Caenorhabditis elegans: one gene and its partner. Changing the gene in region 1 together with any one later gene gives a genetic interaction. Each region holds a gene or a part of one and is shown on either strand. Other genes may lie near its edges.

Region 1 (4,862 bases):
TTCAAAAAACATTTAAATATTCTTCTTACAAATATTTCAAAAATATTACCACACAAAAATTCTAACTTTCCATCCATTTTTCTCTTTTTCTCGCTACCTTCTACGAAAATTGCTGAGTACTCCAAAATTTAAGATGTTCGGACGAATTGTTTCTCGTTTAACTGCACGGTTATTTCTAAAAAACGTATGGGAAGAGCATGGAGAACGGGCAGAACCGAAGGATGCACTCCGCGCCGTATTGCTCATCGTTCTGTTCGCGCTCACGTTTGCAGCCGGAATGGTGAGCCAAAACTTTTTTTTGTCATGTTCGCATGTGATGTGATCACATTTCATTTTGAAAATTTCGTCAACTTTCAGATAGCCACGTTTCTAAAAGGAGAATGGGCGCGGAGCCATATTCTCTCGTTCATCTCGTGCATCGGTGGTGGAGTTTTTCTAGGCGCCTGCCTTCTTGATTTGCTTCCAGGTGAGAAGTGGAAAATTTTGCAAAAAAAAAAAAACATCAGAGAAATGCTATTTTAGTCCAAATTTTGAAGAATATTCGCCAAAAATCCCATTTTGGCAATACACTCGCTAAAATGTAGTAGAAAACCTGAAACATTTTGCAGACTCAATAGAATCCTTCGAGAAGACCAAGATTGCAACGGAGTTCCCAGTTCCGTTGGCATTTGTAGCAGTCGGATTTCTATTGGTTCTCACAATTGATCAGGTTGTCAAAGCGGCGAAAGACCGAAATGTATTCGGACATGTTGGATACCATATTCATAGTCATAATCATGAGCATCAAAGATCTGAAGATGGTGAATCACAAGAAGAAGGAGACGAAGCTGCCGCCCAATCGAGTATTGGAGTTGCCATGCTAGTATTGGCACTCTCTGTTCATGCTCTGTTCGAGGGACTCTCGTTAGCTGTCACGTCAGATGCTTCTCAGTTGCTTCAGGTTCTGCCGGCTACCTTAAAACTACTATTTTCTTCATTTTTAAAATTAAAATTAGAATTTAAAACAAAAAATGTTTTTTTTTTTTAATTTATTTTGCAGATCTTCGGAGCGCTAATACTTCACAAATGCATAATGGGCTTCTGCCTTGGAGTTCGTCTAGTTCAAGCAAATCTAACAACTCCATGGATTGCACTTGCACAATTCCTTTTTAGTGTTCAAGTATTGATTGGTGGTCTAGCTGGAATTGGAATCATGAAATTTATCAGTGGAGGAGAACAATCATTTGCTGCAATTGTCTCATCAATTCTACAAGCAATTGCCTGTGGAACATTCTTGTATATTACTACTTTTGAAGTGATTCCACATGAATTGCATAATGGAAAATATCGAATTCTCAAGATGTTCTTCATTTATATGGGATTTGCAATCGTTGTCGCTTTTATCTTGATTTTCCCCGAAGCTTCTTAGGACATTTGTATTTCTTTTTCTCCAGGAATTCGATTAATTTTTGACATTTTGTAGCATTTTCTCTGCTTTAGTTTTTTTTTCCTAATTCTGTGCAATTTTACTCGATTTTTGTGTACATTCTGTGTCCCATCTTTTCGCTATCACACATTTTCTTGTACTTTCTCATCCCGGGTTCCAGCTCGCCATAGACCTGTGTATTTCATTCATTTTCCCAATTCCATTACTTAATATTTGACATTCCCGACGGCTTTAAAGCTCCCATTTGTTGTACCAAACCCACAATCCTAAGACTCACAGAGCTCATGTTTTTCTAATTTCAAAAATTGAATAACTATTATCTTTAACTTTTAGCCGTTTTTTCCAAATTTTATTTTAAGCACTAGACGCTCTCGTTGTTGTGATGCCTTTTTCTTTTAAAATTTTCTCAAAGTAACTGATATTTCAGACAGATGCAGCCGGACGCACTATGATAGTCCTTCTCTCCCTTCTGACAGTTTTTCTCATTTTTCTGAGGTAAATTTCTAGGCTACAAGTTTTTGGGTTTTGAACTTTAAAAAAAACGTACATTTCAGATTTTTTTTTTGTGTTTTCAAAAGAAAACTATGAAAAAAAGTTCATTTCTCTTGAAAAGTAAAAGGAAAAAAGAAATCTGTAAATTTTTTTGAGAATCTAAAAAAAAGAAATTTATGGCTGCAACATTAGTTTAAAATAACAAACTTCCAGCTACATCGATGTGATTCTATCGTGGATCTTCTCATTCGTTACAAAATCTCATGTTCGCATCGGAGGTGTGGGATTCGTTCAGTTGCGTGACGTCACCATCAAAATCTCGTGGCTCTCCATTCACATTGACGTAATCTCGTTGTCGAGGGATCGAGCTCATCCGACACGCTTTTGTGTTTTGCGGTTCGATGATGTGAGGATCGAGGCCGAGAAGAATGTACAGTGGTATGGAAAAGTGGAAGAGGTGGAAGATCCGTCGAAAATGATCAAATTAAACATCTGGACGTCTCGATTCACTCGAATCGCTCAGTACTGTGGTCTTGTGGTGAATCGTGTACATATTGTAGTAATGAATACGATACCGGATTGCCTGTTGCACGTGACAATCGACGAGTTGTCGCTTGAAACGTTCCGGAGCAGAGAAGGATGGCAATTCGAGACGTCTTGCTCACTAATACAGGCGAAGCTTTTGAGACGAGGAAGGAACAGTGGGAGCTTGCTCGCGGAGCTGTCAATGCCGTTTCAACTCTCTTTAGATATCGATAAGGATGTTGTGGATAACGTGGCCTTGAGGATTTCGTCACCGGCGATCGCGTTCAGTGATGACTTTTTTGAAGTTTTTAGCAGTTGGACTGGATACACGGAAAGAAGTGGCTCTGCAGAACTCAAAACTCCCCTGAAACTACTCCAAATGACCGTGGTCATCCACTCGTTCTCCATCAAATATACCACGAATAACCGCTACATCACGGCTGGTATAAAGCAAATCCAATTTACTAGAAACCTGGAAACCAGCATACTAGTGATTTCCGAGCTGAACATCGCAGATCAGCTGCTCAGAAGTGAGCTTAAACTTACCATGATAAAGTTTGAGACGGCTGTGAAGACGCTTCACTGCTCTGTGGAAGGAGTTCATGCTAAACTAGCGTTCCATGATGTTCAGTGGTGGAATAAGAGTCTTAAAGAGCTCCAAAGAATCAGTGGACATCAAGGATCTTCAGGAGGATCGAGAGGATCAGATTATCAAATCTTTCTTGAATTCTGTGATTTGTCGGCCGAAATTGTCGACTTTGAATCCCACCGATCGTGGTTTAAGCTAGGCTTTCTCACGTTTGAAAAGTCGAATGAAACGTCTACTCAATTTGAACTTGGAATCGAGATGCTTTTCTTCGGATCACAAGACGATCCTGAATCCCTACAACAATTCGAATACCATGAATGGGGGGAAACTCTATTTATTGGAGCATTTATAGCGCAATGGAAGAAACTTTCGAAGAAGAATTTGTTAGATATTACTGTGGGATGTGATGATGTGAAGTTCGAATGGTCCGATCAATTGGCTCGACAAATTGAAGGGGTTATTCATGGAATTCTTGGAGCCGAGCATTCTGCTAATGGGGAAGAAGCTGGGAATTTGTGCCTTGCGGTTCAAGTGTCGGCTAATAGGTAAAGAAAAAAATCCTGGCCCAAGAATATTTTCAAAATACCGCGAAAGACATTCTCTTCGGAGCGCGCCGTGGATTTTTCGGTGTTTTTGAGTGAAAATCAAAAAATCAAAAAATTTTCGATTTTTCGATTTTCTGGAAAATCAAAAAAAAATGTTCATGTTCAGAAAATTAACCATAAAATATGATTTTTAAAAATCTAATTTTGTTTATATTGATGAGAAAAAATATAAAATTTTTTTCTAAAAAGAAGAAGAATTATTATATAATGGCCAAAATTATTAGCAAATTTTGAAAAATCGAAAAAACAAAACAATTTCGATTTTACACCTTTGATCAGGAGCCAAATTGAAGCCATTTCAAAATATTTACCCGATCTTTAAAGTTGGAGGGAGACTTTTTTCAATAACAAAGAAAGTAATTACAGACTAGCCGTACTAGTGAACGCCACGAACAAATCCTACGCGGCACTATGTGCTTCCAAACTCGAATTTATTACCGATAACTGGCAAAAAGATGGCCTTCTCAAAATGGAGATGATGCGTGGCGCGACCGGAATTCGAGAAGATACTGAAGATCATGTTCTTCTCGCGGATATTTTCGAATCGCAGCGAGTAGTTGAAGAAGCAGCCGAAATTCACAGTTCACCAACTCGGAGATGGAGCCATTTGGAGAGAGAACGAGTATATAAAGAGGAACGAGAGAAACGAGCTAATCAATTTGAATTCAAATTCAAACAGTTCATTACGGTGAACACTTTGGAGTTTCTCATTGATAAACAATCATCGGTTATCGATAAAATATCAGTTTTCACATCGAGCGAGGTCTTCTTGGCGTGGTCTCCACAGCTTCATCTCATTGTTTTTGACGCTTATAAGTCTGTCAAAAAGTGAGAGTTTTATCAGGAATATGGGAGAAAATCATTTTTAGCGGTTTTTTGAAAATTAAAACTTAATTGAAAAAAACTACCGAATGCCAGAGGCTAGTCAGCAAATTTAAATTTAAAACACTTCTTTTGCTCAGAAAATTTGAATTTCCCGCCAAAATTTTTTGCCAGATAGATTTTATGAAAAATTGACATGATTTTTAAAAATTCTGAATTTTTTTTACCTTTCAAGAAAAAACAACAAAATCCTCTTGGTAAACATAATTTTCTAAATTTAAGGTAAAACAGTATAAATTAGTTTTTTAATTTGACATTTTAATATTCAATAAAATTCCTTTTTTGCAGAACCGTTCAACTCCTATCATTTCCGAATCCGTCAACTTTAACACGAAAAGTGCCT
Region 2 (5,000 bases), on another chromosome or scaffold:
TCAATCATTCTTCTTCCGAAATTCATTATTCATTATAAGTTTCATCCTTTTCAATCTTGAGGTTACGTCGTTCGGGATCTCAAGCTATTGTTTACGAAGAAGTAGAGTAGACCCATCCCGAGTTTTTGTTTGTCTAAGATCTCTGAGTTTCTTGATTGAAAAATTGAGTTCCTCAAAGTTTCCCTTTTATTGCTCTGAAGGCATGAGCTAAAATACATCCTGAAGTTGAAATCGAACATTTATACTAGGTTTTCAGATTTTCTCACAATTATTTTTTGATTAGTAAAAAAAACTAAGCATAAACTTCACGGTTGTATGATCTCCCTAGTTGAAGCAATCATACTGTACATGAGAAACCTTCTTTAATTTAGTTTGAAAAAAAACTCCTATATCAAAATGGCAGATTCGAAGCCCAAAGTTTTTAAATAAGGAGGTAGGATATTCCCAATTTAATGCTCAAAGTTTCAAAATTTGGAGCTCAACACTTTTAGATCACATTCACTTATAAAGCTTGAATATTAAATGTACAATTCTAATAATTTATTAGTTCAAGCTTATCTTTGATCCTCTCCGGTGATTAAAAGTTGGTTGCCGGTCGAAACTTAAAAATAATCTCTCTTCCAAAAAAAATTGCACAGTCTAAACTTTTTAATCTTCGTGTTTTGGTTGTTGCGTCTATCCATCCCAGAAAAGATGTGTTTATTCCACTATTTGCACATGCAAAGAAGAATGAGACCGTAACCCCATTAAGCAGTGTAGTCCGTGGAATCCCCCCACATCTACTATTACTACTCAATCTCAAGTGTTTTGAACGGAACCGAACGGAAATGCATGAAGAAAATTTTGAGGCGTGGAGAGAGTTTGGTGCGTGATCCTCGTAGTTTTTGCAACTGAGTTTTGCATGTGTTTTGTTAGTTTAAAAGGTTCAAAAAGAGAAAGATGGTCGGAAAGTGTAAGGGTCAAACAATTCAGTTATATGTACTTGCATCTGTAGGCGTGTGCACTTCGAAAACTTTTATGCTCTAGGCATTATGTTTGAAGATTCAGAACATTTTTTCATCTCAAAATAATTTGACCTAAAATTAATTTTTCTAATGATTTTTTATATGTATCACTAACAATCTGTGACAAATCTACAAAGCCTAATTTAGTGTGAGCTGCCCACTCACAGGTTCTTGATTTTGAACAGCTCATTGGATTAATGAACAAGCTAGTTTTAATGAACTGTAAAAACGATAGAACTGTGTTCTGAAAACTGAGATTAATCTATGTAGATTAAACTCTAGATCGATAGAATTCAAACAAGATCTTTGAATTGTTTTAGGCTTCCAAGATCTTCTGGATGTTTATCGAATGAAAAATTTAATCTTTACTTTGATGCAGAAACGGTAATCAAAGAACCCGGGAAGGCGTTAGATACCATTTTCCGCCTTATTGCTTCACCCTGGCAGCTACTCTTACGGTTCATATCTCGTATTTTTTGTACGTTTCAAATCATGCTCAACAATATGATTATGTGGTTTGATTGGACTCGCAGTTCAAGCCCAGCTCTTGTCCTTATCGGCTCTCGCCCTTATAAAATCTAAAGAAAAGGCGTGTGAAAGACACCTCTATAACGCCTCGACCGGGTAATAATTTGTATAAGAATATTTAAAGACAAAAACGTATGCCTGTCAGATTTTAGTTATCATATCTAGGTCAATTTGCTCTTTGTACTTTTATTTTCATAGACACAGCATACGCACTTACCCATCAAATACCTTATCTCTGCTATTGGAATAATCAGATTCCATTTTTCAACTTTTATCCAATTACAGTTCCATCACCTTTTCGGTAGGTATCACACTCCCATTTACATATATCGTTTTTTAAGTTCTATCTTTTTCTCTCTCCCGTTTCCTTTCGCCGCGTGTTTTTCTAATTGATAGTCATCTTTCTTCTTCGAAAGTGCAATTTGACAGGAAAAAGTGCAGACTTGTTGAAAATTGAATTTTGCAGGAATGTCTACGAGGAGCCGGGGCTCCTGCTCCTCACCATGGTTCATCACCCCGTTGGTGCTACTAGCCCTGTGCAGAGGTATTGGTTTGAAAATATTACATAATACGGGTTTAATACGGGGATAAAAAATTTCTAATTTGGGTCAAGCTTAGCTAAAAACTTGCCAAAAAATCTTGAGCAAAAAGCTACGCTAAGAGCACATTGAACACTAGTATCTGACATTTGGGGATTTAATTCACAGTAAGTGATGCAGATCCAAAAATTAGAACTAGATAACCAACAAATTTTACCAAAAGCTTCATGAACTCGACGTTTTGTTTCAAAATCTTTTACCTTTGATCTACAGCCCACCTAGTAAAACACCATGAAAGCAAACTCATAAAACTGAAACCATATGGCTTCACCTATGGATTTTTACAAATGTGTCATTCAACCGTTTTCTTGATCTTCCGTTTTTACAAGTAGTTGTACCCACTACTTCATCTTCCATCTCACTTTTTCGGTTACTTTTTGGGGCGAGAGCGGAGGTGCCCCGGTGCCGCCTGTATCCAGCCTGCCAAGGTCATCACTGACCCATTTATGACGGCGGGAAACAACATGTTTGATGATTGGAATTGCGGTGGTCTTGTGTGTTGTTGGTTAAGAAAAATGACATGACATGAACAATTGGTATTTGGGAACAGATAGATTAAATGTTGGGAACTTTTACGCAAGCTTTGACACTTCAAAGACTGCCCATGATTCACATTTTACCTAGAGTTAAAAAACATCCAACTTGCTCAGATATAAAATAGAAAACAGTTTCAGTAAAGTTGTTTTTTTTTTCAGGGAGTCATCAAATCGCTAAAAACTTTGTGAACTCATCAACTCCAGATCTTCGACCCACATTTGTTGTAAATTTCGATACATCAACAGTTATTTGTCAGCACAGGTGAGCATTTAGTTATTGAAATTCTTAAACTGATTAAACTAGCAAGTTATATGGATGTGAACATCCAAACTAGATTGTCTGGAAAATTTAAGAGATATCTTGTTTATCAATTCTTTGTTTTCCAAATTTCTAAGTTAAAATTTCTCTTGAATTCTGACAGTAGTGCCCAAAAACAGCCAATTAAAAGAAAACCAAATGGGTCATCAGGCAAGAAAACAGGCGTATCAAAAGAGTGACACAGAGGTGTCATAAACTTTTTTTTGGAACACCGAAGAGTTGTTAACCTTGAGAGAATAGCAACACAAAAAATCAATTTCATGGATGATTGAAAAGAACAAAGTGTCAAATGGGTGGGAGAATATCGAGCAAAGTTGCAAAATTTGAATTTAGAATGATTTTGTGACCTCGAAAAAAGACCAAACTTTGTGGGATCAAGGAGAGAAAAAGGACAAAAAACTGGTTTAAAATTTTGAATTTTCAGCTCCGATCCAACAGACCTGCATATTCATAACATGAGCTCTTTATGCGATGGAAAACAAGATTGTTTTGTGAATCCTGCTATGCACGATGAAGTTTTCCCTTATTGTGGTTAGCCTTTTTTTTTTCAAAGTGCAGGTTTCCAATCAATTTTCTTTCAGAACACAAATGCCAGTCAACATGTAGTGGGAAAGGAGCGTGTCTCTACGATGGAGCCAAACCTCAATGCTATTGTGATTCCGGATTCTCTGGTTCAGCTTGTGAGCTTCAAGATAAGAATGAATGTTTGGAGCATCCTTGCCATATGATGGCTCAATGTCAAAACACGTTGGGATCCTATGAGTGTCGGTGTCTGCCAGGATATGAAGGAAATGGACACGAATGTACTGATATTGATGAATGCTCAGATAAACTTACATCTAGATGCCCAGAACATTCTAAATGTATCAACCTGCCTGGAACTTACTACTGTAATTGCACACAAGGGTTCACACCAAAAGTAGGCTTTTGCCATAATTATCACAAACATAAGAATCTATTTTTAATCTAAAAATTCGAAAAACAAGTACTTGAAAACTTGAGAAATGAGACTTGGAATTCTTCCACTTTAGTCATGCCATATATGTATATATATATATATAAATTCAATTTCATGGATGATTGAAGAGAACAAAGTGTCAAATGGGTGGGAAAGTATCGAGCAAAGTTACAAAATTTGAATTTAGAATGATTTTGTGACTTCGAAAAAAGACCAAACTTTGTGGGATCAAAAAGTATAAAATCCTAATTTCCAGGGAAACCAGGGATCTGGTCTTGACAAATGCGCAGATATCAACGAATGTGAGACTGGAGCCCATAACTGCGACGCAGACGAAATCTGCGAAAACTCAATTGGATCATTCAAATGTGTCAATAAATGCTCTCCCGGGTATGAGCTAATTGATGGAAAGTGTGAAGATGTAAATGAATGTGGATCTGAGAAACTTCATAAATGCGATGTACGTGCTGATTGTGTCAATACTATTGGTGGATATGAATGTGAATGCGAGGAAGGTTTTGAAGGAGATGGAAAGAATTGTCAACGTAAGTGTGGGCATTCCGTCAAACTACCCTGTAAATTTTGAAATATTTTGGTTGTACATTCGTCGCACATTCTTGCACTTCTAGCAACTTTTTAATTTTTGCGAGAACGTGAGGGTAAATACGAAATAAATTTCAGAAAGCTAAGACAAAGAATGAAAAATTATGCGTTTTAACAGCACTGATTTACCTAAATATATAATTTCCACCATTTCAGCAAAATCGTCTTGCCGTAAAAACTCTGCAATCTGTGATAGACACGCATCTTGTCACATTGTCCTAGACATCTGTGACTGTAAAACTGGATACACAGGAGATGGAATCACATGTCACGATATTAATGAATGTGATGCCAAAGATACACCATGCTCAGATGGCGGAAGATGCTTGAATTTGGACGGAGGATACGTTTGTTGCAAAAATGGACAAGATGACGCCACATGTATTAAAGGTGAGTTACATTTTGCCCAAATTACTTTAAGTAAGCTCATAAGTTTCAGACCAGGGAGCATTT

What was found. A genetic interaction does not mean that the proteins touch.
Region 2: of bltp-2 (region 1) and fbn-1, changing one enhances a phenotype caused by changing the other (phenotypic enhancement), as found in Caenorhabditis elegans (one study listed by BioGRID).

Annotation. Positions count from the first base shown.
Region 1 is NC_003279.8:15,047,692-15,052,553, reverse strand, and holds the start of bltp-2 (FMP27/BLTP2/Hobbit GFWDK motif-containing RBG unit domain-containing protein), read left to right. Parts: upstream 1-1,853; 5' UTR 1,854-1,874; coding exon 1,875-1,921; intron 1,922-2,131; coding exon 2,132-3,577; intron 3,578-4,003; coding exon 4,004-4,465; intron 4,466-4,807; coding exon 4,808-4,862. Other genes in the region: zipt-1 (Zrt (ZRT), Irt- (IRT-) like Protein Transporter), read left to right, coding at 134-280, 358-466, 609-940, 1,040-1,408.
Region 2 is NC_003281.10:7,623,386-7,628,385, forward strand, and holds the start of fbn-1 (EGF-like domain-containing protein), read left to right. Parts: upstream 1-2,000; coding exon 2,001-2,076; intron 2,077-2,556; exon of another isoform or gene 2,557-2,608; intron 2,609-2,826; coding exon 2,827-2,929; intron 2,930-3,410; coding exon 3,411-3,517; intron 3,518-3,567; coding exon 3,568-3,905; intron 3,906-4,200; coding exon 4,201-4,489; intron 4,490-4,703; coding exon 4,704-4,937; intron 4,938-4,986; coding exon 4,987-5,000.